Coturnix japonica: one gene and its partner. The protein of the gene in region 2 interacts with the protein of the main gene of each other region in a pairwise test. Links are inferred from orthologs where the notes say so. Each region holds a gene or a part of one and is shown on either strand. Other genes may lie near its edges.

What was found. The genes of interacting proteins can lie anywhere in the genome.
Region 1: the proteins of NAIF1 (region 2) and SOX14 interact in binary tests that used the Homo sapiens proteins (3 or more experiments, as listed by UniProt). The two-hybrid records come from large-scale screens. The link is inferred for Coturnix japonica from reciprocal best matches to the Homo sapiens genes NAIF1 and SOX14.

What each region holds. Positions count from the first base shown.
Region 1 is NC_029524.1:3,146,906-3,150,437, forward strand, and holds SOX14 (transcription factor SOX-14), read right to left. Parts: upstream 2,492-3,532; 5' UTR 2,282-2,491; coding exon 1,559-2,281; 3' UTR 603-1,558; downstream 1-602. UniProt on the Homo sapiens protein: Acts as a negative regulator of transcription.
Region 2 is NC_029532.1:3,577,315-3,581,058, reverse strand, and holds the start of NAIF1 (nuclear apoptosis-inducing factor 1), read right to left. Parts: upstream 2,863-3,744; 5' UTR 2,847-2,862; intron 2,607-2,846; exon of another isoform or gene 2,506-2,606; intron 2,306-2,505; 5' UTR 2,302-2,305; coding exon 1,797-2,301; intron 1,197-1,796; coding exon 733-1,196; 3' UTR 1-732. UniProt on the Homo sapiens protein: Induces apoptosis.

The DNA.
Region 1 (3,532 bases), on a different chromosome or scaffold from region 2:
CTATTCAGCTCCAGCAGACGGACCCCGAGCTCCTCCTCGCCTCCGTCCCTCCGCGCAAAGACCCTCGTTGCACAAAGGGCCCCGTGAATAGCACCCGGACACCGCTAATTGTCCCCCGGCACGATGCTAATTCCCCCCCCTCTCCCCGACTTCCAAAAAAAAAATTCAATTAAAAAGAATTAAAAGAAAGACAGAGAGAATCGTCGCACCGGTAACAACTTCAGCTCCGCGGAGGTAACTTCGCAAAGCTCACTTTTCCCCGACGGGAGGGGAAGGGGATGCCTCCCCCCCACCACCACCACCTTCCTTTCCCCGGCTCTCCCCCCCTCGTTGTTTGTATGTATCGTCCTCCCGCAGCCTCCTGCTCTCCACGAGGGGCTCCAAGAGGAGCCCGCAGAGGTGCGGGACGCGGTGCGGGGCCGCCCGGTGCGCGCCGTCGGGGCTCGGGGCTGCGGGACGGGCACCGCGCTCACACCGCTCTCAACGCCAAATTGCCTTCATTCCGAACGGCTTTGTTTAACCAACGTAAAGGTTCAACGAGATAAAACCCTACCGGATACGCACGGTTTTGTTTTTCCTTCCCAAGACATCGCGAAAACGTATTGAAATGACCATCATTTTTATTACGATTATTCGGTTTTCCGTTATTAGTAGTATTAGTATCAGCATCGTTCATTTGTTTTGTACAATTCTACCGCCTGACTTCAGACCTGACGCTCTGCCTAAAGTAAACTTAGATCTAATCTCACTGGATCACACAAATTGAAGGACTAGCTGTTAGAAATGAAGCAAACACTATCATATGTTAGAAATAGAAATGCTTCTCTCCCTCCGTTTTGCTTTTTCTTTCCGTTTTGAACTTTGAAGAGACACGAAAAAGCAATTTGCTTTCTTTCCCGACTAAAGCGTGGTGGCAAAATATATAGAGATTTATATATATAACACAGCCGCTCTCGTCTTTCAATGTGCAAAAGGAAAAAAATCCCCCCCACCCCACCCCTTAAAAAAGCCCCAACAACAGAACAGGACCGAGACATCCCAAAGTCACATCCAAGTGCCGTGAGACCATGGAGAACTCAGAGACGTTCAGGGAATAAATTAAAATCACCGCCTCTCTCCTTCCCCCCCCTCCCCCCCCCTTTGTCCCAGAGGGGCAGTTCGAGCTTCGCTCTTCTTTGCTTTCCTTTTTTTTTCTTTTTTTTTTTTTTTTCTCCCGGATTTTCGGAGTTATTTGTTTCTTTCTTTTTCATTTCTTATTGGTTTTGTTTGTTTGTTTGTTTTTCTGTTTTGTTTTAAAACACATTTACAACTCGGCCCGGTGCCTGGATCCTATCCGCCCCCCGCTGCTGCAGGTTCTCCCCCTCCCACCCACCCCCCACCTCGGGGCCCGGTGACAGCTCTCAGCATCTCCTCGTCCCCCGGGGCGCATCCGCGGCTGTCCGGGCTGCAGAGTCCTGGCTTCGGGAGGCTCCGGCGGGGTTATGTACATGCACACGGAGGAATCCCAATCCGGCCGGCTCCCCTGGGTGGGGGCCGCCCGTGGGGTTGTGGGCGGGTGTTACATAGCAGTCGCGTGTGCTGAAGAATAGGGGTCTATGCCAGTCTTGGTCATGCCCGGGAATAATATGTAGGCAACCGGAGGCTGCAAACTGGAGGCCGACCATGCGGTACAGTTACACGGCACCACGTAGCCAGGGTTGGTCGGTGAGGGGTGGGTGTGGGTGTGTTGGCTGGGGCAGCTCAGGCTGCCGAACGCCCCGTTCTGGTATCCCAAGGTGGAGGCGTAGGGCAGGGTGCCGGTGGCCAAGGTGTGAGGAACCTCGGTCATCTTCTGAATGGCGCTGGAGCTGAACTGGCTGGGGTCAAGTAAGGAGTAAGGTGCTGAGGTGGGGGGCAGGAAAGCCCTGGCCTTCTCCGGGGAGCTCAGCAGCGAGTCAGTGGCCCCCACGGGAAGCCCGGCGGCCTTTAAGGGATCGGTTTCCCCCAGGTAAGGCAAAGGGAAGACATACCTGTCCTTTTTGAGCAGGTTCTTGGGCTTGCGCCGGGGCCGGTACTTGTAGTCGGGGTGTTCCTTCATGTGCTGCGCCCGCAGCCGCTTGGCCTCGTCGATGTAGGGCCGCTTCTCCGCCTCGGAGAGCAGCTTCCACTCCGCTCCCAGCCGCTTGCTGATTTCCGAGTTGTGCATTTTGGGGTTCTCCTGGGCCATCTTGCGCCGCTGGCCGCGGGACCACACCATGAAGGCGTTCATGGGGCGCTTGATGTGGTCGCTGGGTTTGGACATGCTGCGGGCGGACGGGCGGGCGGGCGACGGGACGCGGCGGTGCGGGGCGCTCTGCGGGCACCGCGACGACGAAGAGGAGGAGGAAGAGGAAGAAGAGGCGGCCGGGGCAGCCGGAGGAGCTCCAGGCGAGGGCTCAGCTGATCATCACAGTCCTCCACCGACGCCGTCCCCGCCGGGAGCCGCGCCGGGGCGGGGCGCGGGGAGGCGCGGAGCGGTGCGGAGCGGAGCGGCCCGCGGGGAGGCGCGGGGCGGCCCGCGGGGCCCGGCGGGCGGCTAGGCGGGCGGCGAGCCGCCGGGCACAGCTGCGGGCCGGCGGTGGGGACGCGGAGCAGCGCGGGGCAGTTCAAAGGCGAGGGGCTGCGGCGAGCGGGCTGACATAGTGGCAGGGCGTTCACAGCGCGGCTGGGCGCCCAATCAGCGCGGAGGGGGACCAGCTTAAAAAGAGAGGGAGAGAGGAAGGGCGAGAGGAAGAGGAGGGGAGGGGACAGGGGAGGGCGGAGGAGGAAGAAAGGAGGGGAAATGAGGACCCCCCCACCCCCTCTCCATCAGCGCGCAGATTAAAGGGAAGGCTTTGTGAGTTGCCGCGCTAACAGCGAGGGGAGAGCTGGGGGGGGGGAAGCATCGGGACCCCCGGTATATGGGGACAGGGGGTGCAGGGGTCCCGACACCCCTCCGCCGCCGTCGGGGCTGAGAGCACAGCGCTCCGCCGGGCCGAGGCCGCTCCCCGCCGCCAATTCCCCCGTTCCGCAGCCCCGCTTAACCCCGGGAGCCGGCCCGCGTCCCGACTCGCTTTGAATAATTGCCTGCCTCCCTCCAAACGCCCGTGGGGAAAATATTTATTAAATGGAAACAATTGTTCCGAATCCCGACGGGGGCCGCGTTTGTTCGTGGCTTATTGGTTTTGAGCACCTGCTTGGTTAACAAACCTGCTCCGAACAGCCCCCGTCGGGCCGCCCCTTGCCCCGGCGCGGAGCGTTCAGGCCGCTCTATGGCTGACGGGGGCAGAAACGAGATGCGAGCCGGGCGGGGGGCTCGGGCCGGGCCGGAGGTGGGGACCGCAGCCCCGCAACCTCCGCGCTCCCCCCGCAGTCCCCCGGAGGCAAGTTCTGCTCCGGCCGGGCGGCCACGCGCTGCCATTGGAGGTTGTTCGCTACCCCCGGAGTAGTAATAAGAATAACAACAACGATAATTATAACAATATCATCAACCACCCTCGGTTATTTCCTGCTTTTTCTTTTTTTTTTTTTTTCC
Region 2 (3,744 bases):
GCAAGACATTTTCATCACATCTGCTAAGTTTAAAGTTGAATTTCATGACTGTGCACAGATAGAACACGAGGTGAATACACTGTTTTAATCCCATTTATATCCTTGGGGGATATGGGTGGGATCCTGAACTGCATACAGGCTTAGAGCTAGTCTGTGCGGGTGAACTTCATGCTCCAAGAGCAATATCCACAGACTCTCAGTGCAGAGAAAGGTTGTACCACCTCAGATACCACGTTTCCAGTGAACACTTTCAACAAGAAACAGAAATGCATTCACAGCCAGACACTACAGCTTGTGATATCTGTTCCTTGGCAGCTTCACTACTGTGACTTAATAGAAAGACTCTCCGTGTTTGAAGTCAGTTAAAGGCTATGGATCAAGGCAGAGGAAGAAAGAAGTGTCATAGCCAGAAGTTTTTCAAATGGATAAAAAAATAATTGTCTTTTTTTTCTCTCCCTCTTTTAAAAAAGACACAAATCTATTGTTCTGAGGAACTAAAGCAACCAATGTTAGCTTCCTTGTTTATCAAATCTCCTGCTTCTGCTCTGTATGATGGGTCTGAAAAGGCAGATCAGCAGAAGATTAGCAGAGAAGAAAGTTGTTCAGGCTCAGCCTAGACTCCAAGGAGAGCCGTTACACATTGACTAGAGCCAGCACCCCATTATTGTGTCCAATGGCAGCAGGGGCAGGGCTTTTTTTTTCCCCAAGAAACAAGTCCCACTGCTGTTCCTTTCACTGGATAATACCATCTTGCTGCCCAGTCTGGCTGGGATCAGCGGTCACCGAAGGACTGGGTGTATTGCTCTGCAAAAATCGACGGAAGTCCTTAATCATGGGGCGGAGGACCTGGATGAGGGCACTCAGTGCAGCCTGTGTTCCTTCCATGGCTTGAGCCTGGCGTTCCTGCGCACACGCCTGCACCTCCTGAGAGCGACGGATCATTTGAAGCAAGTCATTCTGCTGCTCCAGATGCTGGGCGATCTCCTTCACGTGTAAGTTGGTGACTCGCTGCTCCTGCAGGAGCTTGGCTGAGTTCAGAGCAATGCGGCTTTTCAGCTCCTGAGGTTTTGCAGATACTTCGTGTTGATGTGCCATCATCTCCAACGGTGCTTCAGCAGTAACTGCGGTGGGGGCTTCTGTTGTGCAGTACTCCACCACCCCGTCCTCCAGACTGTGGTACGTCGTCTCTGCAGGAACTGAGAACAAAGGACAGAAAGGGGGTAAGGAGTAGCTGCAAAATGGGTGTCCTTATCTACAGGACTATTCAAGGAATGTAACAGGAATACTGCCTGTTCTGGGAGATAACATACAATAAACAGCGAACGCGCAAAATAACTTCAGTCAACTCCACCCTCATCCAAGTTTCCTTCTCGGATGTACCGAGTAAGGTCCAAAGGAGCAGGGTGCGCCATCCCTGTCTAGACAAGATCTCTTTTAGGGCACCATGATTAACCAACTATGATTAACCAAATGACACAAGGCAAAGACAAGGACTCGAATGGCACTTAGCAACATGATGGCCTGGTTGGGGCAGTTCAGGAAATCAGCCCTGGAGATATTCCTCCTTTATTGTAGTTCATTAGATTAAGGGACCAAAGGCTCCTTGCTTTCCTGGCTTTAAGGCTGACCCCAGATGACTTTCACGTGCATCACATAGATGCTCCCCTACATCACAAATGTGTTTTCACGACAGATGGGCACTTAGTTTTGACAGGAGCTCCCTGCAGTGGGATCACAGGAAGGTTCCAGGCCTCCATCAATGCAGATGGAGCATCTCCACAGTGCACAGCACTCACTCTGGGTCAGTGTGACGGTGGTGGCGGATGCGGTGATGGGGATCTCGGTGCCGTCTGCAGCCCCGCACTCCCCGCCGGGCAGGCTGATGATGGTGGCCTCTCCCAGCAGGTTACAGATGCGCTGTTGCATTGGGGTGAGGATGACGGGAGCTGCCGTAGCACCCGTAGGGTCCTCACCCTCCGTCCCAGCACCGCCTCCATTGTGGCTCTCGCTGCCCCCTTCCATGGCCGCTCTCACTTGTGCCACTTTACGCCGCACCTCAGTCTTGAGGTCGGACCATTTCTTCTTCACCTCGGGCAGCTCTCGGTGGCAGGTGGCGACGGCGTTGACCCTCCGCAGGATGTCGTGCCAGGCTGCGGCCTTGGCAGCCAGCGGGACGCCGGCGTTGAAGTGGTTGATGAGGAGATGTTTGCCTCGCTCCAGCTCCTCCACGATGATCTCCACCTCCCGCTCCGAGAAATTCATCTTCCTCTTCTTGGCCGGGGGAGCCGGGGGCGACGCCATGGCCCTGAGGGGGAAGCGGGGGAGGTGATGCTCAGCGGGCTCCTCAAGGGGCTGGGGGGGGTTGCCCAGCCTTCCTTAGCCCCCCCCCGGCCCGCTGACCCCGGGGAGGAGCGGGGGGGAGGCCCGAGGCCCCTCGGGGCCCGGAGGTGTCGCTCCCTCCCCGCTCCCCCCCTTGGCACCGCTAACGATACGCAAGTTGCGTACCGCGGCCACCCAGCAAACCCAGTTCAACGGCCTCCACCCTGCGACACTGGCGTAATGGCTTCCAGAATCAGCCCCCTTTCTTTCCTCGCCTGATTGGGCCGCCCGCCTGTCCGTCAGGTGAAAGTCTCGCCCCCAGCGAGCAGCGCTGCGCTGTCATTGGCCAGTCGCGCCGCCCATCGAGGGCAGCTGGAGAAGGTCCCGCCTCCCCGCCTGCCTCGGCCCACTGGGCCTGCGTGAGTCCGGCGGGACCCTACTCCTGCAGCTATTGGCTGCACGCCCTGTCCGTCAACACCCAGCCTTGTCCCTTACTCCCAATCTGATTGGAGCGGTTGTGTCTTTACCCTCAGCTTTCAACCAATGGCATCCATCTCCGGCATCACATCCCGCCCTCTTCCGGCCGCGGCGGTTCTGCGCTCCGATTGGTGCAGGGAAAGGCGTCAGTCTGACGTCACCGAATTGCGCGCGTGGGCCGGGCTGTGGGCGTTGGCGGGGAGCGCTCCCATTGGCCGGCGGGGGGGCGTCACGTGGGCGCGGCGCCGTGTGGCGCGAAGGCGGAAGCGCTCGGCGGCGGCTCCTCGCGGTGCCGGCGGAAACGTCGCCATTTGCCGGCGGGCGGAGCGGCAGCACGGAGCCACCATCATGCCGGGAGCGCGGCGCTCATTGGCCTCCCCGGTGATGAGCGGCGTGCTGTGCCCGTGCGGCTCCCCGCGGGCCGCCGCCACGCCCGGTCCCGGCTCTGAAGGGAGCCCGTGCGGGAGGGCGGCGTGTGAGGCGTCCGAGCAGGACCGGCGGCTCCGGGCCTTGTTCCAGAAGCTGGACGTGAATCGTGACGGTGCGTTGTGCATCCACGACCTGGCCGTGGGGCTGGGCCGCCTCGGGCTGCACCGCACCGAGCTGGACCTGCTGGTGAGAGACCTGCGGCTACGGGATGAGCGAGGCCGGCTGTTAAATACGGCCTACGGGGCGTCTGGGCGGTACCGGGACCCTCCTGGGCGGTACCGGGACCCTTATGGGCGGTACCGGGAGGGTGTCAGGGCGGTACCGGGGGTTCTGCCTCACACGGGGTGGGCCGGGAGCGTTGGTGCCGTGCCGGTGCTGCGCGTTCCGAGCAGCGTCGTTCCGTTGTAACCGTTTAAAGCCGCGTGAACCGGCGCCGTGTCCGCCCTCGTGCGCAGCTTTAAGTTACTGGAAGTGAGCAATAAAGTCTCCTCTCAGCCTCCTTTTCCCCAGACTAAACAG